4 linked regions of the Kluyveromyces lactis genome follow. The protein of the gene in region 1 purifies or fractionates together with the protein of each later gene. This does not show direct contact. Links are inferred from orthologs where the notes say so. Each region holds a gene or a part of one and is shown on either strand. Other genes may lie near its edges.

What was found.
Region 2: the proteins of SEC17 (region 1) and NYV1 purify together in Saccharomyces cerevisiae (affinity purification with western blotting; 4 studies listed by BioGRID, with this or other methods). This does not show direct contact. The link is inferred for Kluyveromyces lactis from reciprocal best matches to the Saccharomyces cerevisiae genes SEC17 and NYV1.
Region 3: the proteins of SEC17 (region 1) and VTI1 purify together in Saccharomyces cerevisiae (affinity purification with western blotting; 5 studies listed by BioGRID, with this or other methods). This does not show direct contact. The link is inferred for Kluyveromyces lactis from reciprocal best matches to the Saccharomyces cerevisiae genes SEC17 and VTI1.
Region 4: the proteins of SEC17 (region 1) and YKT6 purify together in Saccharomyces cerevisiae (affinity purification with western blotting; 5 studies listed by BioGRID, with this or other methods). This does not show direct contact. The link is inferred for Kluyveromyces lactis from reciprocal best matches to the Saccharomyces cerevisiae genes SEC17 and YKT6.

What each region holds. Positions count from the first base shown.
Region 1 is NC_006041.1:526,623-534,687, forward strand, and holds SEC17 (alpha-soluble NSF attachment protein SEC17), read right to left. Parts: upstream 4,673-8,065; coding exon 4,643-4,672; intron 4,421-4,642; coding exon 3,572-4,420; downstream 1-3,571. Other genes in the region: KLLA0_E05897g (ferric reductase family protein), read right to left, coding at 1-611; RPL43B (60S ribosomal protein eL43), read right to left, coding at 5,054-5,330, 5,825-5,826; transcription factor IME1, read left to right, coding at 7,600-8,065. UniProt on the Saccharomyces cerevisiae protein: SNARE complex protein that binds to cis-SNARE complexes on membranes and is required for vesicular transport between the endoplasmic reticulum and the Golgi apparatus and for homotypic vacuole fusion.
Region 2 is NC_006042.1:1,796,720-1,804,468, forward strand, and holds NYV1 (Nyv1p), read right to left. Parts: upstream 3,548-7,749; coding exon 2,852-3,547; downstream 1-2,851. Other genes in the region: TRM1 (tRNA (guanine26-N2)-dimethyltransferase), read right to left, coding at 1-1,523; DPB4 (DNA polymerase epsilon noncatalytic subunit), read left to right, coding at 2,095-2,745; KLLA0_F19470g (uncharacterized protein), read right to left, coding at 3,981-5,486; GIS3 (Gis3p), read right to left, coding at 6,289-7,647. UniProt on the Saccharomyces cerevisiae protein: Vacuolar v-SNARE required for docking. Only involved in homotypic vacuole fusion.
Region 3 is NC_006038.1:897,361-905,077, reverse strand, and holds VTI1 (v-SNARE protein VTI1), read left to right. Parts: upstream 1-4,215; coding exon 4,216-4,881; downstream 4,882-7,717. Other genes in the region: HFI1 (Hfi1p), read left to right, coding at 1-422; CIK1 (Cik1p), read right to left, coding at 546-2,387; YAH1 (adrenodoxin), read right to left, coding at 3,012-3,512; KLLA0_B10263g (uncharacterized protein), read right to left, coding at 5,162-7,717. UniProt on the Saccharomyces cerevisiae protein: t-SNARE found in various SNARE complexes involved in multiple transport pathways. The composition of the t-SNARE complexes is specific for a limited number of v-SNAREs and therefore allows only the vesicles carrying the matching v-SNARE to fuse.
Region 4 is NC_006040.1:224,818-232,221, reverse strand, and holds YKT6 (palmitoyltransferase YKT6), read left to right. Parts: upstream 1-3,055; coding exon 3,056-3,658; downstream 3,659-7,404. Other genes in the region: mRNA splicing protein SPP382, read left to right, coding at 1-1,059; MIA40 (Mia40p), read right to left, coding at 1,436-2,656; CYB2 (L-lactate dehydrogenase (cytochrome)), read left to right, coding at 4,971-6,740.

The sequences.
Region 1 (8,065 bases):
ATCCATACCTTTTTCATAGCTCTTCTAACTGAGTTAGTTTTCTGTGGGAAGAACACTTTCAACCAATGGATAAGACCACCAAAGAAAAATATAACTGGGAAATATGCTGATAGAACTGCCCCGTAATAAAATGAGTGATGGTAACTATTATAAAAGTTTTCCATGGTATCGTAGTAATTATTATAGAACTTTTCACTGTAATACACAGGGAACGAGATTGGAACCGATTTGTTAAAGTGTGGGACGTCACTTACCTTTACCAAATGAGACGTAGCGTTTTCGTATACGGCAAGGATCTTCTTTTCACTGTAACCATTGCATGTCTGATTCACAGTGTTCATGAACTCTTTTTTAGTCGAGTCATCTTCTATGTGTTGGAAGACGCAGTAAAAGTATGACCCCGCATAATCAACGTTCTTACAGAAACATGTCGCAGCCTTTTTCGCGGTGCAGAATGTTGCTACCGATGCCAATGATTGTGTACATGCCTGTGTGATTTTCAGAGCAGAACTTCTGGGGGTAAAGAGATCAGTTTTGACAGATGCTGACACCCCATTTAATAGGAACACCACCAAAAATGTCAAAATAAATTGCAGTTTGGAGGATCTCATCGATTATGTTCCTAGAGCCTTCGTGATTTACCTTGGTGAAAAATATGATGTTATACTTGGTGAGTTGATAAAAACGAGACAGTAAAAGTTTAAAATCCATATATTAAACCATTGATGGGTCCAAAATGCTCAAATAGTTTCTCAAGAATGATGCTATTATATATACATATCAGAAATCCGAGATGATGACGAAGATCCATACCGGAAAGCTGATAAAATAAATTTGGCAAAAGAATCTAACGTACCTATCTGATATCCCTCAAATTGCGAATGCTAACGTTGTAATATCGCTCCCTACTGACAGGCAATATCAAGAAATGTCCGAATACGATATCGATTTACTTCCATTCCGTTCTAACTTGGAAAAAAGTGGCGGATCTATCGTAACCTGATATATCATCCTTAACCCCACTAGCCTCGTATCATAGATACTCTGCTATTGTATCGAATGTTCTTATTTCTACGTTTATTACTTTCGCTGGTGCGAATCTGACAGAAAGGAAAAAAGAAAACATCGAATAGATATGAAAACCCCATCTCTGCCAAGAGTTTAATAGTTTGATAAAGCTTCTAGCCCTTTCTTCATACTACAATTAAACTTATTCAATTGCAAAAATACCATTAAAATGGGGGTGTGCAGACCCTAGTCTCGCAGACATCAACGTACCCATCTTATGTCCTTTTACTGAATTCTCGAATGCATGAATAAAACTAAAAAATAAAGGCTTGGCTTTTAGATGTTAATAATCAATCAAACAGGCTCAGAACAGTCCGGATTAAGCCATCTCCCCGTAGCATCCATGGTACAGCATAAACTTTGATTTGTTCGAGCTTTAAGGGAGTATAACTCACGTAGAACAAGTAAGAGAACTCAGTGTGCTGGAAACCTTTTTTATTCATAATTGGAATCTTTAACCCAATTCGATTACTTAGATTACTTTAAATCACACCCAGTTTTGACCTTTCTGCATACCGATGCCATTTTTTATCTGAAACTGTCAAACAAACATACAAACGTTCTGAAAAAGAAAAAGGATTCAAGAAGGTTAAAAAAAAGAAAAAGCTGTGGGTATCTATTGGATGAGCGAAGCAGTAATACGTCGCTCTTACAATTCATTTGTAACGTGAGAGGAAACATTATGTCTTACATCAGGGCCAAGCTAGCCTCGATGTAACTTTGGCTTTAAAATCGAGCTTTTGCGTTGAGCTGAATGAGCAAACATAAAATGATTACAATTATCGGATCAAACTAGAACGAAAATTGACAAAGTCTCAAAAGGGACCCTAATCAATGTAGTCAACTAGAATGTATAAAGCTTTGCTATCATTTCTTACGTTCACGGGATGTTCTCAGTCAATCTCCCCTGTATCTACAATATATATCTACAATGTTCATACTATTTTTATCCGCTATTTGCGGAACTGACAAAACATGCATTATTTCCATGTATGCACAATTAGACGCTTCCGTCTCCTGTATTTTCGACCCTCTTTTTTTTTGAAATTTTTGGTTTTTCATCCGCATTTCTTTTTTTTTTGCTACTGAGATGCTGCTCGAGGACGGAAGACTACATCTACTGCGCATTTGACGCATCTCGAACGGATGTTATGCTGTTTTTAGGCTATTCAAACGGCACTGCCGTGTGTCAATAGAGAGTTGGCGTTCGACCGACCAATTTACGTACTAGCATCCATTCAAATTAAAGTTGTTTCGATGCAAAGCGGGATGAAAGGTTCATCCGACCCAAGAATGAGCATTGTTTTCCCGTTTACAACTGGCTATAGTTCGATATATCCTTGTGTCTAATGTTCATCACTCTCAGTTAATAATCAAGATACACTTCATCTCGATATAGTTTGGAATAACCAATTAAGAAATGTTATGCCTCTCCGTTTAAGATCTTGATTTGGTGTGTGGCATCTCATGGTTCTATTGTTGAAGCTCCATAGGTGCTATCAGTTTTACTTGTATACTGTGTTCACACCTCATCTATGCTGCGTTACCACATGTTCTTGGTGTTCTGGTGGAAAGATGTCCCGCTGTATTGAACTTCTTTTTCTCTAACCATAATACTAGAAGGAATTTAATCATTAGGTACTCTAAAAAAAGAAAGACTATGCCAACATTACTGACTCCCAGGCACTTCGCCACATCGTTTGAGTAATTTAAGAACAGCCGCTTTCGTTTTAGCATTGTGTCACATCCATTTTGCTGAAAATGGTTATTATTCCGGAATACCGTTATGAATATTAAACCATGTAGTTTACAAAATTAATCCGGTTGTATGAAAGATGTCCTTATTGAATTTCGTCGAATGCTCAGGATAATCAGTAATAGTCCGCAATCTCCAGGATCCAGTAAGAACGGAAACGCATCTGTTGAGGTTTTCATTCTTTTGATTTCTTTTCTTACACTTGCATACTTTTTTTACGGAAAGATGCGAAAGGGTCCTCTTATCTGAACGTTTTAGAGATCATGTTACCCCTCAGTTGATGTGTTTTCATTCATCTAGTGATATTATCAATCAACTGCCTTTTGCGTAGGCTCATCTAGTAGATTTGCTGAGGAAGTATCATCATATTCATTAAAAATTGTACCAGCATTCTGAAATATTAGGTTTGTTTCTTACCGTAAGAAGATGTAAAAAATTGTGATACATTTCTTACTTAATTGTATATTTATTCAAAACGGTAAGGGAGCCGTTCGTCAGAAGCTTAAAAAACATTTTCGTTACCATTAACATCTTCAAAATTTCCAAACGTCCAAGCCAGATGGCAAGCTTATTTGCATCGATATAGTTGATAATGGGAAATGAAAGACGTTAACGTGAAACAAACCACTCGATGTGGTTGTACAAATGGGTATACACCATTTATAAAATAATTATTCCACCAAAAAAGTGACAGTTGTGTTAGAGAAAAGAATACAATTACAAGAGAATGAGTTGAATATTACCATTTTATAGTAGATCGTCATCCGCCTCGACGATTGTATTTTTCACCTTCAAGAGTATAGTTGTTTTCCAATGGTCTAACTTATTGAACCTATCATATTCGTAGATCTTTTGCGATAATTTTTCAGTATCACCTTCCCTTACAGCTTCAATTACGTTTGATAGTAACTCAAACTCCCTTGATTGAGAGAATGATGGATCCAACGATTGTGATTCGTTCAAACTTTTATCTGCAGCTACAACATCACCAGCAGCAAGGTAACATAGGCCAATCTTCAATAAGTACTCTTTGAGCGACCACTGGCTTAATTTATTCCCCAATGAATTTTCAACGACTTTCTTTAAGATCTCGGTAGCTTCCAAATAATCACCGTTCAAAGCTTTCAAATCGGCGCATTTAATGTAGGATTTATTCGAGAGAGCAATAGCTTGGTCTTGCAAATACCAATCACCAGCTGTTTCATAATTGGCAATGGCACTTGGGTAATCCTGTAATTGCTGTTCTTGTAATTCAGCCAATTCGAATTTGAAGTTGGCACCTCTTCTAAACTGACCTCTTCTTGTGAAAATATCTATCGACTTGGCTAAGGACTCAGCAGCTTGTGCTGGAGAAGATCCTGTCTTGAAACACTTGTAGGCTTCGATATACGTATTTCCTGCTTCATCTTCATTAGAAGCCTGTATTTGACACTCTGCTGCCCTCAAGAAAGTATCACCCGCTTGATCCAACTCCTTTCTTAGCCTATAGAGGTTTGCAGCCTCGATATAAAGATCTGCTGCTTCTTCGTAACGGTAAGAGTCTGAACCGCTAAGGAAACTGAAAAATCCTGATGATGGTTTAGCCTTCTTTTCGGCCTATTACAAAAATGACATGAGATATGTTTCCATACCATTAAGTGAAAAAGAGAGAATACGAATGATAAATCACTTCCTCTTTCATCACATTATGGCTAGGGTTTGCATATGTTTATTGTTAGTATTAGGGGTTCAGGCGAGAATAAGGTCAACCATTGTCATCATACTTTCCTAGACTTATTGATTTGACCTTTCAACATAAATGATGGAGAAAAAACGTACCTTAGCTATAATTTCTTTAACATCCGACATATTCAAAGAAAACCTGAGTGGGATATGGCTGAATGCTGTTAACTTTTGTCAACCAAGAGCTTGCTTACAACTTTTACTATCAAACTATCAACATTGTATCATCATTACATGTTACATATTCTAATTACCATCAGAAAGTAAAGAAATTCCTTAAGGGGAGAAACAACGGAAGGCTATCAGCAGCCGGGTAATTAATTCACGTGACTTTCAAATAGGCTGGCCTGGGAGCCGGTCCAAGGTATTTGGCTGGACGCGAGGATGAACACTCGACCATCACGCCTAAATCAGTTATATAGGGTAGATGGAATATAAAATAACACAAAGTGGAAAGATACGTTTTATTGAAGGATACTTATAACATGATTATACGATGCAACAAGCTTAAGCTTCAGCCATGTCTCTCAATCTTCTGATGGTAGATCTGACGGTAGCGGCAGCGGCGGTAGACAAAGTGTAAGCACCACCAGCGATGGTTCTGTTACAAGAAGAACAAGACCAGACACCAGCAGCACCTCTCTTAACACAAGTCTTACCACAGAAAGAACAGTTATAAGTGGCGTGTTGTTGAACTTCCAACTTCTTAACTTGTCTTCTCAAAGAGGAACCGTAACGGACACCGTACTTACCAGTGATACCAACCTTCTTAGTTCTTTTAGCCCTGAATATAAAATGAATTGTGTATTCATTACGTCCGATTCCAATAGTTCGATTCAATTTGTTCACATAATGGGTGGTAATGAATCGATACCACAGGTAGAATGGGTAATAACACAGATATAAAAGTTAGTAAAATTGTTGCAATTAAAGGAACAACAGTTTTTTTGGGGGAGGAGGTCTAATAGATCGTCATTTATTCTGCTGTCGTGCGTGTGGAGCTGACACTATAAATCATCACACTGGAATTTTGCATCTAGCTGTAGTTTCTTGTGCTTATGGTATAATTCCAGTTACCCATTTGTCACTACACTTCTTCTATGTTGATTCCATCTCCTAGTGAACAGGTCAGTCTGCCTGTATCGTATCAGTCTGCTTCTTCTTCGTCTTCTTCAATCCTCATCGTCTAGTCTATCATAGTTCATAGTTCAACTTGTTATATCGATCACTGAGTTCTTCGGCCCCATAACTGTGCGCGGTGTGCATTAGGTATCATACATTTTGGTTTCTTTGTGTTTGCTTGGTTTCTGGAGGGTATATAAGAGTGAATATGAACAACTATAAAACGTAGTTAACAACCTATACAATCTTTAAATTCTAATCACTTGCTAAAGATGAAAACTGGTTGGTATTGTAAATGAGTTTGAAACTCGTCAAGTTTGCAGAATTGAAAAAACTGTGAGGATGAAAGATCCACTGTCCACTAAAACAAGCGTAGACCGAAAAGAGGATAGTAGATTTTTTGTTAAACTGTAAGAAAAAGAGAAAAAGTTGGGATGTGAAAATCCGAAAAGGGAAATATTCTAAAAATACAAATAATTCTGAGAATACACAGGGTGTAAGGGTAAATTACTACACCCGTACACCCAAACAGTCCGGAAATATAGAAAAAATGAATAGAAACATCCTGGAGTGCCGAATCTACCATTCACATCTTCATGACATCGCGATGATTCCCCCATTGGACACTTCCTTATATTTGGGTAATTGAAAAGAATAGAATACAGTGTATACGGAATATTGGAGGATAATACTCTGTACGAATGTATATCGCTGTTAAAGATGGAATTCGCCAGTGTAATCTCCGAATCCCCGTAATGCCAGGGGGGAGCTTGATCCTTAAGATCTCCGCTCAAACACGACTACTGTAACAACTCTTTACCCTTTTGGGTAAAGAGATGATATATGTGTCTTCCCTTTTTTTTTCGAAAAGAAAGAATATAGTATTGACGTACCAAATACAAAACATAACAGAAGATCACTCACAGCTACTAACAACTCTAAGCAAAGTAATATTGTTCCGTGCTGCCCGTATTAACGTCTGCTCGATCAAAGCAAAAACCAAGTGTCAGTGCCGTCTCAACCCAGTGACAACCCGAAACCAGTCTCTTGTCAAACGGAAGCAATTGTTAACGGTAGTCAAACAAGTCAAACAACCTACAGAATAATAGACAAAGTGCTATTATTCTGTGTCGATATCTTGTCTTGTCTTGTCTCAATGTAAGATCAGCTCCCCCTGAAATATGCACATTACTGTAGAGAATGTTCCCAGGGGTGAGGCTCTATACTAAACGGAATAAAAAAATTGTTCAAACAATGTAAAGTTCCGCTACGCCATACAGAGATTTATGAGCGGGGAAGGCGCGTGCTTTTCCCTAATACTATAGGTATGTCTTAATTATATTGCGTTACCGCATACGGAAACGCCTGAAATGTCACTCTTAAGTACTGTGCTGCTTTTTGTCCCCTTCAAATCAAAATTTATCCTGCGCTTATTTCACTTCGCGTGTCTTATCTTGGCTCTAAACTGCAAATCAAATTAAATCAAATCAGATCAGAAAAAAAAATTATTTTTTTTACAGTTAATACCGCCCTTGTTTCATGCTACGGTTCTATCTGGTAAATTCTTGCATTATAATTAACTAGTTAATTAGTTTTATTAGTTTATCCCAGTCTCAATATTGTTTTTACTCCTGTTTCCACCTTGTTTCTGGATCTAGATGTAACTGGGCATGATACGATATGACATGATTTAGGGTTAATTTGGGAATTATTTTAGGATAAATCTAGTTTTATCTAACTTTAGTATATGCAGTTTGAAGTGGAATGCTATCTACCAAGCTTATATATAGGTCTATCGTTTTTGAGGCTTTTGACATATTCTTGTCTGTCTTTCTTTTTCTATCGGTTGCCTCATTACCGTGCATAAAAAAAAACTGATAGTGAAATACTAACTGGTTACCATAGAAGCTTAATATACTTTACCCAATACAATGCACTGCGAGCTGGATATTTCTAGCTATTTGAAACTGGACGACCTGCAAGAATGTGGAGTTAACATGGAATGGCATGGTGAATTGGCACTTTCTGATCTCGAAGATGATGTAAGCCTTGATTTTCATGAGAAGCATGTTATCAGTCGACACGATTTACAGCCAAGGTCCATCCATATGCCGTCGATGATCCATACTCAGCCTGTCCATTTGATTCACGTTCACAATTTGAAATTTTTACAGACGAGTTTTGAAGAAGAAGATGAACAGAGAATTATTTGTTCTTCTTCTACACCACCTTCACTGGCTGACACAAGACACAGTTCTGTTTTCTCTTCTACAAGAAGTATCAACGTGTTACTGGAAGAAGACGAGCAAGATTTGGACAATGACTTGCAGTGCATGGCTCCAGTGAAGAAAAAACAGCAACGTGCATTGGTGGCACCCATCATGTTCTCCTCTTCAT
Region 2 (7,749 bases), on another chromosome or scaffold:
TCATTGGTCAAAATCTTGTACCCGTTTCCATTCTTATTCATCTTCTCTATATTGACAAGATTGTTATCTATGCAATACTTCTTCATCACATACCAAATGGCATCCCAGCTGGCATCGGTCTTCAAACTTGATGCCTTTGCATGTGTCAAAGAACATTCAAACCCTAGCGATCCTAGTCCTGCGACAACTGCCTTTAAAGTTGGCACTTGGAATTTCAAGACTGAGGACACCGAGTTTGGTGTGAAATAGAAAGGAGCAGCTATCTCATTCTTGGCTAAAGTCAACATACCTTCGATTCTCTTTCTCGTACCATAAATATCATCCTTATGTTCTTCTTTATTAATTCTCAATACACGATCAATGAATTTTTTGTTATGCAATGGACCGCCGTACATTGGCCCAACGATGTGATGGACGCTCCCGCAGTATGAACAATTCCTATCAACTGGTGGACCTTGTGCCAAGGAGAATTTGGTGAATTTGACCCCCTTCTTAGTTGTCCTTTCTTGTTGTCTGCCTAGAGGCTGTGTGTGGTAAGCATTACAGCCAGAACACATATATCCGACCATGGTATTCGACTGCAAGTTTTTGACTTCAATTGGGCTTGTTTTGACTCTAATGAAAACTCTGACGTAGAAATCGATACTTAACGAAAGAAGTGGTTCAATAGTCTTTTTATACTTTGCAGCTGATTGTCCTAAAAGGTTTAAAACTAGCCTCAATGCACTTTCATGAGTAGCATCGTGACCTGCCATATTAACACCACTGTACAATGCAAAACATTTTTCGGGGTATCCGTTACCAGCCAAGACCGATAGATCTGTACATGTAACCAGCATCAATCCACCATCTTCGATGGATTGCATTGATGCATCGACGAAAGGAGTAACGGTACCATATGGATCCAAATCAATTACATGGTATTTCTCATTTTTGCTTTTGTTTCTGTACATCAGCACATTTGCATCATCCAAATTGGGTACAACTTTATCCGAGACCTCATTATAGATGACATTTCTCTTTATGGATTCCACTGCCTCTGGTAGTAAATCGTTGGCTACAATAGTCTTCACATTAGGAACCTCCTTAGAATATCTTATAGCACGTAGCCCGGTTGCACTCAATGCTTCCAAAATTTTGATGTACGGCCTGGTAGAATGATCTTTTGAAGACACAGCTACAGAGTCTTGATCTTCGTTTAATTTACGCCTTTTGATAGTATCGTAATCGGAACCATCTTCATTGCTCTCTATGGGTTTCCTTTTCTTGTTCTTGCTCTTCAGTTCACGGCTTTCACGTTGTTCCTCTTGATACAGTTCATCCCATGCTTTGATACAAGTGACACTCAAATCTCTATTGAACTGCTGGATTGGATTATAGAACACAGTTTCCTTGTTAGGAAATAATATCTTAGCATCACCCTCTTGCACCACCTTGAACTGAGAAACATCGATCGTTGAGCTATCCAACGTTACTTTTCTGCCAAATTTTGACTTCAAACTTTGAAAGGCAGCCCTGAGCATATTGCAAGTTTAAATTCTTACTTTTCTTTATATGGTTTTGCTTTCCCTCCTAAAACAAACCAGCTGAAAACGCTTACTTGGCCTTTGACACACACCTCAGCGATTATTTACTAGGCCTGAGGATCAAGCTATATATCTTATCTTAAGTTGATTTCTGCGAGAAGAGATGTGATGAGATGCGATGCCCATGACTGAAAAAATTGAAAAGTTGGAAACTAGGCTGTAAAGATGTAAAAAGTATGGGAATCTATGTCACGTGATTTAATCTTTCTATTGTTTATTTGGCACGTACGATTAAGTACCTCAAGACGAAATGCATATGGTACACATGGTTCAGTATCGATATTAATCGAGGATATGATGACTAGTTCGAAGCAGACTATTAGCTGTTACTACTTCTATCTACTTTTTTTTAGCTTTCATTACTGTTCTCTTGGTGGAAGTAATATCATTATGCTTATAGTGAAATTTGTGCGTTTGCATTAAGATTTATTACCACTAATGATTCAAGAAAATAAGAACCATCAAATGAAAGAATTCACAAAACTCTAAGAGGCAAACAAGCGCGGGTATGCCACCAAAAGGTTGGAGAAAGGATTCTGAAGGAAATTATCCTAATACGTCTTATATAAAAGAACAAGAAAAGATCAGTATTGATGATTTACTATTTCCTAAAAGCATAATCACATCTCTAGCGAAGGAATCACTTCAGAACGCGTTTCAAAAGGGCGAAGAAGAGAGAAGAATCACGGTTAGTAAGGATGCTGCATTGGCAATGCAGAGGTCAGCGACAGTCTTTGTCAATCACTTATTAATGTTTGCTAGAATGAACGCAAAGGATTCTAATAGAAAGAGTTGTAATGATCAGGATATCATGGCTGCTTTAGATACGTTGGGGCTAGGTGCTTTGGAGAGCATACTCACGGGAAAGATGCAGGAGTACCAGGAAGCCATACTTTGGAAGAAGCAAAATAAAGTCAATAATGCTGTGCCTGGTGCGGACGGAGACATAGCAATGGAAGATGATGAAGATGATGAAGATGACGATGGCAGAGAAGGCGCAGATGCTGACGCCGAGCCTAAATCCAGAGCTGATACTGAGGTTCAACAAGGTAACGCTGAAAATGATAAATTAGATGGGCCTCCAGTCAACCAAGAACAAGTACCTAGCACGCGCCAGAACGACCTGGATTTAAGCACAAAAAAACAGAAGACGGAATGATCGTATAATCGATTTGTGGAGAAGAGGTGGCAAGAAGTATAAGTACTATAAACAATTATACCGTTTTCGTGTGCTCATGGGTTACCTATACTTAAAAAAAATAGAACTAATGTAGTAATAATAACGACACAATCACAATAATCGCCAGTACAACTATAATGACAATGGAATAAAACTTAACGTTATTCCACCACATTTTTCTCATAATCTTAGAGGATTTCCTTTGAAATTTAAAACTATTTTCGTTCAATTGATTAGTATTATCCACAAGCAGGGATATCCTTTCCTGTCTCTGTAAAAACTTATCGATATTATCATTCATTATTGCAATAATGTTTTGTAGCTCTTCCTCAGTGGATGCAGCTGTCTGCTGTCCTTCCGTGCGATAAGATAATAATTCTTCATGGAATTTGTCCAATTGATTATCGATATTACTCTTCAAATATTCATCGTTGTCATTATTCAAACATTTTAGTTCTGATAATAACCTCAACGGTAGGAATTTGGGGACTTCTTCTTTAACAAAACAAATGAGCACTTTATTGTTCTCTGCAGTTGTATAATAGCAATCATACCCCTCTATAAGGTCGATAGACGTCTTTGTAACTTTGTTTCCCGGAAGATTCACCACTGTTCGTATTACCATATCGCCGATTAACCTGTGAAACACTGCTTTTTGATCGGCTCTCCCTTTATCAGTGCTTCCATATTTACTATTGTTTTCGTCCTTGGAGTCGTACCAGCTAGAAAGAACTCGATCTCCATCCCAAACTTCAACATATGACACACTATACCGCTTCATTGTTGTAATAATTCACCACTACTAACAGGCAATTAATCCTGAGAGTCCTTTCACAGTTTCCTTGCAACCCTTCTACCAGATGTAGCTGGTAAACATGGAAATTTGTCAGTTTTCATATTTTCAACATTCTCCAAAGGATATCATAACAGAATCAGAACCGAGACAAAATCTCTACCTCCGGCAGAAAGAAGAAAAAATGTCAGCTGAAGCCTACGGTATAGTTGTGATAACTTAATAGTCTTCTCATTTTTGATTGAAGCTGCTGATACCTAATTCACTTTTGAAGTACAGAATTATTCATATTTATATCTATTTGACATGTCTATAAATCTATCAAAGATAATGTCGATAATGACATATTCCAATGACAAATATGTATGCGTAAGTTCCTTTGTGATATTAGTATAATTGAACTATACTTACCCTCGATAACTTATGGTACAAAGGTTGGAATTTGTACGCAGGACTTAGAATCTTCTGGCCATTTGAGATACCCACTTTCCAAAAGTTCATCCAGAGTTTTGGCCTTTGTACCGGTAGCTTTGTAATAAGCGACATATCCTTCTTTTATAGCGTTGATGGCTGACCTAGCTCTAATCTGATCTCCTTTCCATTCAACACCAAAATAACCACCATTACCAGCATGTCTAATCTCACGATTTAATCGTTGAGAGTATTGGACGTCCCATGGGAATGCCAAATCATGATACTTACTTCCATCGCCACTTTTCTCGATGAACCAATCATGGTACTTCTGTTGAAGTTCCTCCGATGGAAGTTGGATTCTTCCTGACCATACTCTGCTCAACCAAGCACCTTGGGTCTCGGATAGTCTTGTAGGAAGAACAAACCTTGGTAGGCCAATAATACCGAATGTTGGCAATGATATTGGAAGAATATGGTTGTACAGGTTTTGTACTCGTCTACCATCACCAATTAAGTTGTTGAGAATGGAATTTCCGACACCAGATTCATTCTGTGGTAAAAATGGTAGGGACTTTAAGTAACCAGTACAGAAAATCACTTTTTCCACATTCTTTAATTCGGTGCCGTCAACGAAGGTAATCGATTTTGTTGACGGATTAAACTCTCTAATATCAGGCACATCTTTAATGAAAGGATCGAATGGGGCCGGTAATTTGGATTCGGATCTCTTCGACTTATAAATAGGCTTCTGTAGTTCGTTAGCCAATTCAAATGCTAAGTCTGCACCAGAAGCACTGTTACCAACAATCAAAATCTCCCCTTCTACACCATGGAAATCTTCTGGACAGTCAAAATCCTTGGCATGGGAAACGGAGCATGGGTATTTCACGTTCCATTCTTTTAAACCTGGTCTTGAAGGAATAAATGGTAGATCATAAAATCCAGTAGCAACGGCAACGGCATCGAACTTCTCCTCTGTAATTTCCTTACTGAGAAGGTTCTGAGCTTTGACAGAATATTCAGCTGTTGCGTCTTCGTAAGAAACTTTCACAATTTCTGAGTTGAAAGTAACATATTTTTCAATGGGTTTGGAATATTTCATAATATAATCAAGCACTTGTTCTCTCACAGGGAATAATGGGGTGTCTGTTGGAAATCTGTGACCTTTGTACTCCATCAATGTCTTAGGAACATTGGTATCTAGATATTTATAAACTGCTGTTTGGAACACATGTGTTTCTTCAGGGTGTGGTTGAGGTTGAATTCTAATGTGAGGGTATTCACAAGGAACAGACGGCGACGATGTGACATTAGAGTCCTTCAGTAAAGGTTTTGTATAGTTCCATAGACCACCAAAATTGGATCTCTTCTCAAAAACTTTGACAGATTCGAAATGTTTCTCATTCAGCAAGGCTTTTGTTAAACCTGATCCAACTGGACCAGCTCCGATGACTGCAACGCGGCGAATTTTATCAGGATTCACTTTTATTAATCTAATTTGAGTAGGTCTCATTTTTTATAGTGATTGCGCGCCCTCGTAACAGACTTTCGTAAATCCAGTGTTAATCTTTGGAAGGTTGACAATTTCTCAGCTGCCTGGTCAGAAATTGTATTTAATTGGCTTGTAGCCTATGTATTGTAAGTGCCACTTTTTTTAAAACTGGATACTGCGATCTGAAAGGATGAGTTTGGCAGTTAATTATAATGTTAGGAAACTTTCGAAATCTGTCTCCGATATATCGATATAGGGGAGTTCCTTGATTGAAGCTGCTAGATTTATCTCATCCCAATCTCTTGTTATATACGTTTATGCTCTTTAGACCATCATGTTTTTTCATTCGATGAACGGACTTTGGCTGAATCAAGTAGTTTAAAAATCCGTTGTGGCTTTATCACGTGACTAAAATCACTGCATATAGACACCGTGAACCAACTCACTGCTAGAACTGTGTGGGGTGTGTGTTGAAGCTTTAGAAGATGGTGTTATCTGATCAATATCTAGATGAGATCTTAGAGATACTGTAGTTATCATGTGATGGTTTTTGTGGACATGAGGGACCTACTGTGTCTTATTAATCCATAAAAGATCGTAAGTTCCTAATACATTGGGTACTAAAGTCATAGCATCATTATTAATTGATAAGTTGCTCGAGTACATCTCGAATAGGAAAGTGAAGTGGTGGGAAGAATAAATATCTATGTCTATATCTATATATGCATATATGGTTGTATAATGGTATCGGTGATAGGAAGGTAAATGCTTTTTTTTGTTGTTTTTTTTTTGTTTATCTATGTTGCATATTATCAGCTCGAGTTCATGCAAATCTACAGTCACACCAACCTTTCACCACGTATTGAATCTCCTTGGAATTAGCGTTTTTTCCAAGGGAAATTCTGCCACATGGTTTGAACATAGTTGGTTGTGACATTTCTGGTTGTGACCAAGGTTTCACCTCGGAGTTCAATCTCACGAGTGACGTAGTTTCCTTTGTATTTTCATCTTCTTCGATATCTGATGAAGAAGAATCACGTACAGTTGTTGCCTTGACGAATTTCAAGTTTGCTGGTGCATGCTCACCGTGAAGATCTGTCCTCGTAACCTGGCACATGTCTGACCAAAGCTTCTTTCTTGTTATTAGTGCTAATTTGATTTGATGTGGTGATATCCTGTTGGATGGATCTGCTGGAATGTTCAACTGAGAAATTTCTTGGATTGAAAGCCGTTGTAGAATGGACTCATCTAAGTTGAGGTCAGGCAATAAATTTTTCTGTTTCATACTAGTTTCTAATGCATACAGTCGTAAAAAGGATGGATTTAGCGTCTGTTGGCGAGTTCTCTTTTGCGTTATGGGATCCAATGTGATGGATTCCATGCTATTAGTTTGTAGATGCTGTTGCTGTGAAGAGTTGGGCCAGTGCTCCATCTCTACAACTTGTTCTTGTAAAAAGATCGGTTTGAATTTCCTGTGACGTTTATGCTCTTGTTCTGAGCTTTCATCTGATGTATTGGTAAATATTGGATCGATATCCATGCGTTTGTTTTTGGGTCTTTCGTAGATTGGTGTAATTGGTTGTAGAATGTCCTTCTCTGAAAAAGATTCTGTGAAATCCAAATCGTTCAAATTATACATCTTAGTATGAGGCAAAACTTCATATCCAGTGCTCTGAGGGTCACTTATCTTCTGCACGCGTCGTTGCGATGTTTCCGTATCGCTGTCGACATGGCTCAATGGATGGTTCCGGTCAGTTACTCCATATAGTGTTTTGTCATCTTTAGAACCTACATCTGAAAACACATTATCTGCACTCGTACCATAGGGACTCGAATTTGATGATAATATGCTCCGTAGCGAATCCGTTGAAGATACGGTGGATCCTGTATTTCTGCGGTCTTTGCTTCTTTTCTTTATCTGACAAAGAACACTTGACAAAGAAGGGGTTAGAGATGATGCATCGGGTGTAGACGAAGGAGACACCGAAACTGGACTAGAGAAGGTTCTCTGGTTTGAATTAACCTCATATTCATTGACATTACCCAGCGCCTTGAGATCTTGTTTCAGCTTGTGCCTTGAATATTTTGTCGTCGGTTCAAATATTCTAGCCTTAGATTTTATATGATTCAATATAGGCATTGGGCCAGGATTCGTCATCGTGTTCAGTACTAACAGCCCCATACTCTTTACTTTCTCTAATTGATAAGTTTTCTTTCCGCTGCCTGCTGCTTGTTTTGATGACCTCTGCTCTAATCCTTCAAATACAAACACGGAACTGATTTA
Region 3 (7,717 bases), on another chromosome or scaffold:
ATCTCAAGACAATTATTGAATCCACCATAGATACAGTAAGATACAGAGAAAAGAAATACTCGGACTTCTACGACCTAAACGATGACGGGTTCCAACAAGCATCTAGTGCGTTAGCAAATAGTAAGACTGAGAGTGATAAAGCGAAGGATATTACTGGTAACAGAACTGTATCCATTACAAATGAAGACGCTTTGGACTCGTTCACGATATTCCCCAACGTTGTTGATCCAACAGGTGCATACCTTGGATTAACTACAAATGGGTTGGTAAATGACGATGAGATCGTTCATTTCAAAAGTCCTGTCGATGATCTATTTCATTATAAACGGGAAAAGCCTAACTTCACTCCCCTTGACGAAAAGAATATGGGAAGCCGGGAAGAGCTTAACTGGCTAATTAAAGATATTCTTACAAAGAAATAATGACTAACAGTATTGCGAATATTCTCAATTGAAGGAGCCAAAAGTCACTCTTCTGATTGATTTAATCGAACAATTTCCACGCTTTCATTTTTTTGTAGAATTTATAGACAGGGAATATGACTACTATTTCGGATTTGGTAGTTTATGTAAAGTTTGTGATAATTGTAATAATGAGGAATCTGGTGTATCAAAATTGAATATTATTAAGGATTCAAGTCTTAATAATAACGATTGCAAGAAGGTCGAGACTGGGCTGACAGCCGTCTTTGTGATATCAATCGCATTCATTTTCTGAATTTCCTTAGTAGGTGCTTGGATGAAAAATATGCTTTCAAAATCATCTTCTTTATCGAAGACTTCAAATTTCATAACATGAATTCCTCTGAAATCGGGAAGTATAAAATTATTCACTTCTTCAATCGGTAGTCTTTTAGAATGGAAATCAATACATTTTTCGTCAATGACAGCGGATAAATCAGAATCCTCAGAATTTAATAAATCCTTCGAAAGGTCACTGTCGTTCAATACAACCATCTGAACAAGAACTTTGGATTTCAAAAATCGTTCATTTATCGTTCGTAGGAAATCTTTCCTCAAATCATCGTTTATTGATATAATATTACAACTTTTCTTACTCTTTAAGCACGAATCGACGAAGGTGAAGCATTCATTATTGAAAAGGTTTGAAGGTGATACTAAGTCTCTCGGAAGAATTCTGCTAAAGTAAAACACATCTGTATCTCCGATAATACATTTGTTCATATAGTCTACTGCATAGTCATTAAGTTCGTCGTAATTAAGATATGCAAAACAACGAATGTGACCATCCAACTCATCTATTGTGTTTTCCAGGATTCTTCTTTGCGATTGCTCTTGTTCCATTCTATCATAATTTTTATTGTATTCCGCTTCTGCTAATTTAGCTTTGGCTTTAACTTCATCAGTGGTATCTTTCTCTGATTTATATCTCAATTGAAGTTGGTTAAGTTTCTCCTCTACCGGCTCCAATGAAGCTTCTAACGTTTGTAGCTCCAATCTTTTATTTTTAATAATTTCTTGTAAGGAAAGTTCAGTATCAACACTATTTCGAATTTTATCTCGTAGTGCTTCCTGAGTTGCCTTCAGATCATTTATCTTAATCTTTAGTTTTTTGTTTTCTTCTATGGATGCTATCAGCGGTTCCTTTTTATCTTCTTTGAACTTTTCCAATCGTAATTTTAATTCATTCTCATATGATTGAATTTGTTCATGGTTTTTACGTTTCAAATCTTTTAAATCATTCTCTATGATCGCTTTATCTGTGCTTAACTCTTCGATTTCTTTAAGGACAGCCGGATCAGGTTTAGTTTGTTTTAATTTTTGTAACTCAAGTTCCCAGATGTGTCTTTTATCAGATATTTTCAGCTGCCATTGATTTATCACTTCTTGTATATTTATAGAATGCTCTAAATTCAAGTTGTTAGTTATCAGCTCATGGTTTTTCTTCTTTAGCTCACAATCGTTCTTCAACTGATATAATTGTTCCTGCATCACCATGGTCTCTTGTTTCAAGTGCTTGAAAATGATGGATCTTTTGTTCAAATTGTATTTGAGCTGCGGGATAACCTCAGAAGTAAGGGATTCCAACCGAGAATCCGTTTCCTCAATCTGTTTAGTAAACAAGTGAATATCTTTTAAAGCTTTTCTCTCTCTTTTCTTAACCTCCTCAATAACGTTGGGATCCCCATAAAAATATTTGTTCAATAGTCTCATATTCGTACTTTGACTCTTCGTTTGATATGAAGGAGCAAATTGCTCCTTCTTCGAACCGCTACTGTTAGCTACTGTCGTTGTTCCTGTAGTGGTCACCATATTCGTTATATTTGCTAGCACAGGATGATGCTTCTTCTGTCCAGACACAGAACCTGAAGAAAACGGCTTCTGCCGTTTTCTTGAATTTATAGATGGAATTCGAGTCTCATTCATAACAAAAGGTCACTGTTCATCAATAGCATTGACTTGACAAGCTCTGATCAGGATTGTCGCCGCAATCGTAATATAATGCCTACCTTAAAATCAGGTAATTGAATAAAAAGAAGAAAATTAAGGCGCCCGTTATCTCGGTAGTTACAGTAACAAACGCACGGCCCAATTTGAAATCAGTGATACACAGGTGAGACACACCTGAAACCGAACCCAAAACCTGTTCTGAACAACTGTTGATGTTTCAAGCTTTTCTCATACAGTCTATTTGTTTATGTTTACAAAAAAAGCGATGAATACGTAAAATGTCATTTGAAAGTCACGTGGACAACAAATATATCTTTTCTTTATGTGAAAGACGATATGGTAACCGGGTAACAGTAAAATACCTTTAACTATGTATGTATTGTGCATAGATAGCACCGGTACACAGCGTGGGGAAACTTTTACTGATGCATGATAAATAATAATAATGATAATGGACTGCGAACGAGCTTGGTTGATTGCTCCTATTTACAGGTAATGCAACTGGTGTCACTCATGTCATGCTTCCCCTGTTGGGAAAAAAAGAAAGATCTAAAGCTGTCTCTTTTCATATGATGACTGAATTCAGTTTAGTCATTCTCTCTATTCGAAGTCTGAAGATGAAACATTTCTTGTCATTGAAGGAAGAGCGACTCTGATACCATCGATATCCTTATTCATTTTAATGCAACATCCCAATCTACTTGTCTCAGTTAACCCGTAAGCCAAATCCAACATATCATTTTCATCATCGTCAGGTTCTTCTAATGCGTCGTAATAGTCTGGGTCCACAATCACGTGACAGGTCGAACAAGCACAAGAACCACCACAGGCACCCTCCATATCTAGATTATGGCCTTGAGCTATATCCAAGAGAGAGTCCCCTTCTGCCACTTCAAAAGTCTTTTGTGTTCCATCCTTCAATATGAATGTCACATGCAACTCTTCTCCCGGTTTCGGTTTATGTAAATGTCCATGGTATCTCTTCCATGACAAATTTGTACGGGCTAACCATATGTTGTGAGAGATGCTAGGAGAAGTAATGCTTCTGGCTCTTAACTGGTTCAGATGCCCAGCTTGTCTAGTCAATATTCCTCTGATCATTGATTATACAGGAGTTTTTCCAAATAGATATGGATGATTAAAAATAATTCACAAACAACAACGATAAGTGTTACTAAAAGGAAACCAAAGACCCTTTCCGTCTGCTATACCACAATGAGAAAAAAAGCTGTCCTGAACTTTTATCAACTCTGATTCTTAAGTAGCTTTTATTTGGCAAAAAAAGGTTGCTTTATATCTAGTTCTCCCTTCAGTTCACATCGAAATTGGCAAATGCTTATTGTTAATCATTCAATTATTGAATCTCATCGGATTTTTCCCAATTTGTCAGTGTTCATGAAAACGCCGGTATGAAATGAAACCAAAGACAAAAAAAACAGACCGTTTCTGGGCCTGATTCCACCTCGGTCTTCCGCGGATTTGGCGGATGTGGTTCAAAATGATTGTTTGCCCTTATCTAGATACTGGTCTTTACATGACTCAATCAAAGTCACGTGAACAATGTATTTTTCTTTCTTTTTCTTTCTATTCCCTTTATTGAAGCTTCTCCCATGAGTTCAAGTTAATGTTAGGAATCAACGAAAAGCAGGCCTGGTGATTAAGCTGTTATAGCTGGTAACGGGGCCTACTTCAGACGTACATTGGCCTGCAAGTTTACATTCAAACCTTAAATTTCCTTTAGGTTGTGAAATTCGGGAAGAGATAATATAAAAAGGAAGGTTCTGAACCATATTATTTTATCAGGATGTCCTCATTATTGCAGAACTATGAATCTGAATGTCAAGTCGCTATAAACCAGGCGAAGGTTTTGCTTGCTAATGCTAAGAATGATGCCGGTGCTGTTTTAAAAGGTGGAAAATCGGATATACTTTTACAAATTCAACAGTACCATGATGAATCTTTAGAATTAGTGGATCAAATGGAAATAGAGTTGAATAATACAGGGAACTCGTTGGATTCTAAGACAAGGGCATCTTATAAAGCAAAGATCAGAGATTATAAGAGACAGTGTCAGAATGAAATTAAGGATCCTTTAAAGCAATTGGTGCAAGAAAGCGATAGGAATAAGTTACTTGAAGGTCGCCACTTCGATAATGATGAACAAAGGCAACAGCTTTTATCGAACCATGCGCTTTTACAACGTTCTGGTGATAAATTACAGGATGCTACAAGACTGGCATCCGAGACTGAGAACGTTGGTGCACAGATAATGATGGATTTGAGATCTCAAAGAGAAACATTGGAGAATGCAAGACAAACTTTGTTCCATGCTGATTCGTACGTCGACAAGAGTATTCGCACTTTGAAAACCATGACTAGAAGACTCATAGCCAATAAGTTCATTTCTTACGCAATAATAGCGGTTTTGATACTACTTATCTTGTTAGTGATATTCTCCAAATTCAAATAGTAATCGATTTCTCTGCGTCTTTTAGTTCAGTCTCAATGCAAGTTTAAGCAGAATAGCTATAGTAATGAATTTATATAATTTTAATTTTGACCCTTGTGGTATAATTTTATACTCTCATGAGAAGAATACAATTTACCGTGTATAAATGATATCTGATTTTGAATACTTATCTAGTTGTATATAAAATAAGAACGATATAAGAAATAATAATAATAAAAATAATAATGATAATGATAGTAATAGTGATGGAAAAAGGCCGGTCAGAATAGCATAGCGCTGTTCATGGAAGACATTCTAATTCATCTTCATCAGCTGAATTGATAGTGGTATGAGATAGACGCCTCCTTAATTCATTTACTAGACGTGATTCTTCTTCGGCTAACTGGTTCTGTTTCAGTTTCTCGAAGGTCACACCTTCTTCATCGTCTTCTTCGCTACTGATGATGCTTCCGGAGCGCTGAGCAAGTTTTGCAGATTCACGTCTTGTGCTACCAATACAATGTAGATATTTCTCCTCTTCTGTCAACTCAAGTTGCGTAGCTGTTAAGTTAATTAACGACTTGGAACTCTTACGCCTTGCAATTTTACGTGGCATGTTAGGCTTTAATTCGTTTAACAATGAATCGACTTGAGTTTTGTCTAAATTGGACAGAGTGACAGATGATCTAGGAGTTCTAGGCAACCTGACACATGATAAACCTGTGTCATGAATCCATTTAGCCACTAGCGCAGTCCAGCCACACTGATGGCTTGCACCCAAGCCCCTACCAGTATCACCGTCGAAATATTCATAGAAAGGAATTAGTTCCTCGAAATTAGGATCCTTAGACAAAAACTCACTGTATTCACCATGATATACAGCTCTTTGGCCTTCGGCATCGGGGATGAATAAATGAATTAATCTATGCTGAAGTTCTTCTGCCACTTGGGCCAAGTTTAGGAACTCGCCAGACCCCGTTGGACACTCGACTTTGAAGTCAGGACCATAGTACAAAAAAAACCTTTGCAATGACTCGACAAGCAAGAAATTTGTAGGGAACCAAACAGGCCCTCTCCAATTGGAGTTACCACCAAACATACCTGAGTTTGATTCACCTGGTAAATATTTGACTTCGTATTGTTCACCGTTAACGGACATAGAGAATGGGTGGGTTTCATGGTATTTAGATAGAGATCTTATACCGTAATCGGATAAGAACTCAGTTTCATCGAGCATCCTAGATAAGATGGCTTTTAACCGATCTTCATTAACAAGAGCTAATAGAAGTCTCTCACCGATACCTCTTTTTTCCATAGAAGCAATATTTCTATCAAACATGGCACTTCTATTGGAAAGGAACCAGTCAATACGTTTCTTAAAGCCAGGGAACTTATCTAAGATTCTCGGTTCCAAAGTCATACAAGCATACAATGGAATTAAACCAACGAGAGACCTGATTGGTAGTTGTTGCTTAAATGGTTCACCCCAAGAAATGGCATCGTAATAGAATTGGTCTTCTTCATTCCACAAACTTTCTTTGACTTCCTCTTTGAAGTTGTCTGCACTATTCTTTTCGAATTTGAAGGACATAGAATCACTGATGTACAAAAAGTGTTCGAAAAACTTAGTGGCAATGTCTTCATAGACAGGATTTTCCTTTGCAAGTTCTAATGCGATATTTAACATTTGCAATGAGAAGAATGCCATCCAACCAGTCGAGTCTGCCTGTTCCAATGTTCCACCTGTTGGCAAAGGTTCTGATCTATTGAAGATACCAATATTATCCAATCCTAAAAATCCACCTTCAAAGACGTTGTTACCGTCATGATCTTTGCGGTTAACCCACCATGTGAAGTTCAACAAAAGTTTTTGGAATACTCTTTCCAAGAACACTCTATCCTCACGGCCATACATATTTCTTTCAATCTTGAAAACACGGTACACAGCCCATGCATGAACTGGAGGATTTACATCACTAAAATTCCATTCATAAGCAGGAATTTGTCCGTTAGGATGCATGTACCATTCTCTCGTAAAAATATCCAATTGTTTCTTTGCAAATTCAGGGTCTATCATAGCTAATGGGATACAATGAAACGCGGTGTCCCAAGAAGCAAAGAATGGATATTCCCACTTATCTGGCAAGGATAATATATCTTCAGCATACATATGTTTCCAATCCTTGTTTCTCCCATTTGCACGGTTCTTTGGTGGAGGAGGCTTTTGCAGTGGATCACCGCAGTACCATTCGTCTTGCACGAAATGATAGAATTGTTTTGACCAAAGCAATCCGGCAAAAGCTTGTCTTTGCACCGCTCTCAGAGATTCTGGGATCGGAGCCGGAGTGACTCTCCAGTAGAAGTTATCCGCTTCCTGTTCACGCCTATCGAAAAGACTGTCAAAGTCATCTTCGTCGATAACCATTTCATCTTCGAACATCGGTAACCTGGTATCAGTCAACTTATATCTTACAGTGACGTATTCACCAGGGGGAACCTTGGGAAAGTGGTAAACACCACATGCCTTGGTACCTTCATTCTTCGGATTTACTGCCTCGGTATCCTTATTGACGATATATTCGTTGAAGGCATCCTTGGTATAAGGGGTGGGGTTTTCCTTTGAATCAAACAATTTCTTCCAATTCGATTCGTTTTCTGTGAACAACAACTCCGGTTCCACATCTAGGATACCTTGATCGTCATCAACACCATTAGTAGCAACTGTAGTCGGATGATCATCTTCTCCGTCGTCAAACTCACCCGGTGAAGGGGCAAAAATCGCGTAAGTGGTCCCATATTTCTCTGTGGACAAAGTAACAAAGTTATTACCAGATTTCTCTAGATGAGGCTTAACACG
Region 4 (7,404 bases), on another chromosome or scaffold:
TTATGTTATTGGTTAGATTCAAATACCGGATATTCGAGGATGCTACGTCAAATAACCGTTCAGTATTTACCTATTATTGACTTTATTAGCTGCAGGGAACACTTCCTTTCCCGCTACATTATGCCGGCTCTCGAAATACAACTTTCTCCTCAATTTCTGTCAGATGAATTCATGGTGACATACGGCGAGTTGCATCTCATTTTGGGAGAAAGGGATTTAAAGTCATTAAAAGCACTTATCCTGCTGGAGTTCGAGCAGTTTTTGAAAAATTGGGAACCTTCAATGACTGTTAACCCTCAAAACGTTATTCTCTTGAAGGAGGCAGTGGGTGACTCCAAGTTTTATGAATTAGTCAACAGGTATTGGCTTTCATCTTTCGCTGATTACTTCGATTCACACTTTCACCTGATTGACGAATTTACCGATGCAGAGAATGAAATTTACATTTCAGCTATTATTGATGTGTTGAAAGAATATAATGATTTCTTCGATTTGCCAACCAGGAATAAAGTATATAAGGTCATTAACAACTCGCTATTAAAGACCTTATTCCAATGGTTTGTGTTTAAGAGCAGCACCTTCCGTTATGAAGCTTCTTCATGGCTAAAATACATGATTAATAGAATTTACACTGCATCTTCATTAGATAATGTAGAAGAAGTGAAGAAACTTCTTGACTTTGTCGATCATCCGTCAACACTTTCGGACCATGACGAACGGCTTTCCTTGAAAAGTTTAATTGAAAGCACTGGCCAGTCGGAATCCAGGTTCAACGCTTTTAACAATACACCCATGACCAAAATTTCTACCACCTTTAAAACTGTTGTAGAAACTTTTTGTCATGATCATGGATTATCCTTCAGAAAAACTGATAATGATACTGCCTCAATTAATATATTTGGCAAAGAGAAGGTAGCTCCGGTATTCACTGTGAGTAAATATAACAATAAAAGAGTAAATGTAGTCCTTATGGGAGATATTTTATGGTTACAAAGGAGAAACAGAACAGAATCAAGATTTGAGCCAATTTTTCTCTACCAATTACTGGATCTAATTTGAAAACAGAATAAGCATGGCATATCATTAGGAAAATGTCTTTATGTAGTGTTTATACACGCTATCAGAACATTTCATTGGATTTTTGTTCGTTTTCACATTGCCATTATGTCGAATGGAATTGTAGAATGTAATAAGAATGTATGTTAATTTTTTTTTTATTGGACAAAGAAGGCGAGTTCGATGAACAGGTCAGTTCATTACGAGAGCCATGGGCTTTTATTTGAATTGGATATAACACAAACAAGGGAACCACGTAATTTTTTTAATTTCTTTAGCTTTAGTTTTATTATCTTTGTTCAAACGTCAGAATTCATGATGCTCATTGGCAAATTTAAAAAAGTATCTTTAACGGCAGCAGTTCAGGGTCGGGAAGATTCTATTTCTTTTCATCGTCAGTGTTCGTGACAGCGGCAGCTTCAGGAGTATCCTTTAGTTGAGGGTTTTCTTCCACATATTTTTCCAAGACAGGTTCGAAAACGGCATTTTCAGTTTGTACTTCAACAGTAGAGGTGGCAGTTGAAACCGGGGTAGTGCTCTTATCCTCGATTTTTGAAGCTTCTGCAGAAGCTTCTTCTTCATCCTTGATTTGTTCAGCATAATAGTCTGGGTATTTTCTGAAACAATTTTGCATAGTGGAGAACTTCTCAACACAGTTGATACCCTTTGGATCAGCTTCAGAGTAGACAAAACATGAAAAAGCGGACTTAAACTCTTCACCGCAAGGACCGTATGCCATACCACCTAAACAAGGACAATCCCAGTTGATTTCACCAGTTTCTGGGTTGTATGCAGTTTGTTGTTCGTTTTTTTTTTCACCTTGAACACCTGCAGCCGCAGCAGCCGCAGTAGCGGACTGTTCAGCAGTGCCACCGGAGATAGACCGAATTTCAGCTTGCTCTTCTGCTTCTGTTATGGTCTCAGCTTCAGCAGGAGATTTTTCATGCAAAACAACATCCGATTCACCTTCTGAACCGTCTTTTGAGGCGGTTTTTACGGCATCTGGGCTTGTTTGTTGAATCTCCTTTTTGTCAGCTTCATCTTCTAAAACAACACCCTTGGCAGTTTTTGAGTCATCGAAGCTCAAAGAGGGAGCTTTGGTATCCTCGGAAATGCCAGTAACAGGTTCATTGGTGGCTTCTCCACTGGCAGCTGGTTCGGTAGCTTGTTCATTGACGGATTCAGCAACTGGCTCAATGGCAGCTGGCTCATCTCCTGATAAGGTGGCTGCTAAGGCCTGGTGTGTCTCCTCGCTATAAGTAATCTCGTTCTCAGGAGTAGTAACTGGCTCAGCACCTTCCTCCTGAGCAGACACCGGAGATTCATCGGCATCCTTCGTAGGTTCAGAAATAGATTGTGATTGGCCCGCTGCAGGAGTCTCTTCAGCAGGCTTCTCAGCAGGAGCAGGCTTCCTCTCAATCAAAGTAGGACACCCATCAGCAACGTAGATGGCACCAAGAGTACTGAACCCAGCCAACAACAATGCTGGCTTGTTCATATGGCTCACTCCACCGGAAGGTGGATGAGCACTGTAAAACCTAATTTGTCTAGCGGATCTAAAAGCAACACGTCTAGTAGCTTGTAAAGAAACACGGAACATTGTCTTCAAAAAAATATGTATATGCCTATAATCAATTGACTCGTCAGCAACTTTCAAACGTTTTCTAAGTGTACTGTAAAAATACCAAACCTAACTAAAAGCAAATTTCTTTCCTCCCGTTGTGGGTATCAATCAGCTTCTCTTTTAAATGTTCCTTTGACAAATTGAAAATGCCTTTGTTAGCAAAAAAAAGAAAAATTCGAATATCAAACAAAATGGATATTGAAGCATTGTGATATGAGGATGGGAAATGATGATGTATTTTGAAGATAACACGGAGACGAGAAGGACAGTGTTATAGTACACGTATAGGGGATCTAAGAATAGTTAAGTTTGGGCAAAATAGTAGCTTTTTTTCTCATTTGACAAGTGGGAGAAAACAGGATACAGGATACAAGGATGAAGATATATTACATTGGAGTTTTAAGAAACAGCGATGATAAGACCCTTGAATTAAGTTCTGTGAAGGACTTATCACAATTTGGGTTCTTTGAAAGGAACAGTGTTGCACAGTTCATGTCCTTTTTCAGTGAGACTGTTGCTGGCAGGACAAGTGCTGGTCAAAGACAGAGTGTTGAAGAAGGTAACTATGTAGGTCACGTTTACGCAAGGCCTGAAGGAATTTGTGGTGTTTTGATTACGGATAAGGAGTACCCAGTAAGACCAGCTTATACGTTGTTGAACAAAGTATTGGATGAGTATTTGGTAGCGCACCCTCCTATCCAGTGGAAGGACGTGACGGAGAGTGACGATTCGCTCAAGTTGAAGGAGTTGGATATCTATATTGCCAAGTATCAGGACCCATCTCAAGCTGATGCAATAATGCGTGTACAGCAAGAATTAGACGAGACCAAGATCACGCTACACAAAACCATTGAAAACGTATTACAAAGAGGTGAGAAATTGGACAATTTGGTAGACAAGTCCGAATCACTATCTGCTGCATCGAGGATGTTCTATAAGCAAGCAAAGAAAACCAATTCGTGCTGTATAGTTATGTAGACGGATTTGAAATAGAGGCCAAAACATGGCCAGCCTGATCATATATAGCCCTTGCTACGAGTATTAAGCATAATAGTAATCAAAATAAAGTAATAGTAAGGTTTCACCGGCGTTTTGACCGCCACCTTTGATCAGCCTTTCGTTCCTTCCTGTCCACTAGGGTCTGATTTATCTATCATCATCTGGCTGAGTACGGGCAGCGGATCAATTTTGAAAGAAATTTTCTCCAAAAAAAACGACCCCGGAGAGGATTGAACTCTCGATCTTGCGATTAACAGTCGCACGCCTTAACCAGCTTGGCCACGGAGTCTACTTGCTGGACGCTGTCTTTTGTCCAAGATACCATAAGGTCCAAGACCGACCATTGCCTGCTCACCTGATATTACGTTATCTGCCTGTTAAATTCGGAGTACTTACTCACAGCGTTATCCCCCCCAAACACATAATATACAGGAGGTAAACAGCAGCTCCAAAAGTCACTCCGAATCTCGCTTTTCTCAAGCTCATCGTTAGCGTATCGATGGTATAGTTCGGGCCCTGTTTCCTGTTCTCCGACCCACCCTGTCTGCTTTCTCCCCACGCTACAATTTTTTTTTCAGTTCAAAATGCCGTTATGCATGCGCAAACCTCTCGAGACGTCCTTTTTACCGTTTTCCGTGTTCTATGTCAAGCTATGGAACACTTCACTGTTCTATCTACCGTCTGCTACGACTCCCTACGCTATTGCAGGTTTGTTGACCCATCTGACCTTAGATCTCCAACTGTTCGGCTGGCAACTGCGTAGTGAATTTTGCCTACATTGAGGGAATACAGGACCCATAGAGAACATCCAGAAAGCCGAATGAGAATGGGGTTCCCTCATTGCGCGTGGGTTGCGTGCAATTTTTATACCGATATAATTCCAAATATATACCAATTACAGTATGGTTGACGTCCAGTGCGTCAATGAAAATAGCCTTGGGGTACTGTTACTGATCAAGCGTCCTTGGTAATCCGAAGATCCGCTTGTTCCAACTCAATGTGACCCACGAATGTGGAAACTGTTTAGCGTTTTATCCCACACTAGAGAAAGAGGCATTCATTTCTGGAGTTTGCGAAGAGTTGGCCCGATATTTGCTGTTGACGAAAATGACTAGTTCGAGTTTAATGCAGATGTAATAGACAATAGATAACATATATATATATATATATATATATATAAGTAGAGCTATGTCGCAGTTGGGAATTGGTTATAGTGCGGTTGAGGTTAAATTTGTTTGGTATAATCTTTAATCAGAAAACAAAGCCCCTAGGTATCAACATCGTCATTACTATGAGATCAGCCGTAAGAGTTTTTGGTAAGAACCGTGTTAGTGGGTTGAGATTTGCTAGCACCAGTAGTAAATCTCCAATTCATAAGTCTAGTGCTACTCTGCGTTTTGGGAGATCAGCTAAGTCTGGCTATAGTGCGTTTTCGTTCGGTAAGAAAGTCATCACTGGTGGTGCCTTTCTTGTTGCCGGTTCGGTTGGTATTGCATTGATTTCTCAATTCAATGATAGCGTTGAAAATGGTGCCAAGGTCGATATGACGAAACCAAAGGTTTCTCCAACAGAAGTCGCAAAGCACTCTTCTCCCAAAGACTGTTGGGTGGTCATTGAGGGTTACGTATACAATTTGACTGATTTCATCAGCGCCCATCCTGGTGGTCCAGCTATCATTGAGAACAACGCAGGAAAAGATGTGACCAAGATCTTTGCTCCAATTCATGCTCCAGATGTCATCGAAAAATACATTGCTCCAGAGAACAGAATTGGTCCACTAGATGGTACAATGCCTGATGACTTGGTCTGTGCTGCATTGACCCCAGGTGAAACTCCCGAAGATGTGGCAAGAAAGGAACAATTGCGTCAATCTTTACCCGATATTGATTCCTTGGTTAACATCTATGATTTCGAATTCTTGGCATCCCAAATCTTGACTAAGCAAGCTTGGTCTTACTACTCTTCTGCCGCTGATGATGAAGTTACACATAGAGAAAACCACGCTGCATACCATCGTATATTCTTCAAGCCAAGAATCTTGGTTAACGTTAAGGAAGTTGACACTTCCACTACAATGTTAGGTGAAAAAGTCGGTGTTCCATTTTATGTGTCTGCCACCGCATTGTGTAAACTAGGTAACCCCAAGGAAGGTGAAAAGGACATCGCAAGAGGTTGCGGTGAAAGTGACGTGAAACCTGTTCAAATGATTTCCACTTTGGCTTCTTGTTCTTTACAAGAAATCGTGGAAGCAGCCCCATCTAAGGAACAAATCCAATGGTTCCAATTGTATGTGAACAGTGACCGTAAGATCACTGAAGATCTAATCAAGAACGTTGAAAAATTAGGATTAAAGGCCATTTTCGTTACAGTAGATGCTCCTTCCTTAGGTAACAGAGAAAAAGATGCTAAAGTCAAATTTACAAACTCAAACGGTGCCAAGGCTATGGAAAAAAGTAAGGTTAAGGAATCTAAGGGTGCTTCTAGAGCTCTCTCGTCATTCATTGATCCTGCATTAAACTGGGATGATATCATCGAATTTAAGAAAAAGACCAAATTGCCAATCGTCATCAAGGGTGTTCAATGTGTTGAAGATGTCTTGAAAGCTGCTGAAATCGGTGTTGCAGGTGTCGTTCTATCTAACCACGGTGGTAGACAATTGGATTTCTCTAGGGCTCCTATCGAAGTGTTGGCTGAGACTATGCCAGTGCTAAGAGAAAAGAAATTGGATGATAAAATCGAAATTTTCATTGATGGTGGTGTTAGAAGAGGTACCGATATCCTAAAGGCATTGTGTCTTGGTGCCAAGGGTGTCGGTCTAGGTAGACCATTCTTATACTCTAACAGTTGCTACGGTAAAGAAGGTGTCAAGAAAGCCATTGAGCTATTAAAGGACGAATTGGAAATGTCGATGAGATTACTCGGTGTCACAAGTATAGACCAATTATCCGAAAAATACCTAGATCTATCTACAATCCATGGTAGAACTGTCAATGTTCCTCGCGATAACCTATACCGTGAGGTATATGTCCCACATGAACCAACTCAATTCTTAGAGGAATGAAAAGAGCAATCTCACTTTTGCCATTCGAACCCATAAAGACTCATATTATTTAATGAACGTTTCTTTAATGATAATTTATAAATGAATATTCCAACATATATTATATAAACTAAATCGCGCCAGAATAGATAAAACAAATATCACGCAGGTATTTACGAAAAAGTAAAACAATGTCCACTTATTTATTACGATTGGCGAATCAATACGCAGTTATACAATTCCCGTTGACATTCAATTCAAATTACGACGATACACAACAATAAATCAATTTCAGTCATGTTTAGAGTCCTATTTCAAACCGCAGGAATTGTTTTAATTTGTTATTTTAGTTTGATAATACATATATCCAAAAACCACATACAAGATATTCCTTGCAGATATTGATACATATTTTGTGTGTAGAATATGATTCGATTGCAGAAGGCATGACATCAGAATGTGCACTTTCCTTTCAAGCAGATGTCTTATGGCATCTGATATGACTCGTAGTAATCATTTCGAGAAATCACAAACTGAAAAAGCTGTCATCTTTTTGGAATGATAACCTTACTTTGTTGTAGTCAGGTACGTAGGAACTATGAGAAAAAGAAATGATTCACGTGACACAAAATTGCATCATCCTCTCTCACGCTAAGAAAGGGAGCCCCAGGTGTGCCTTCCGTTG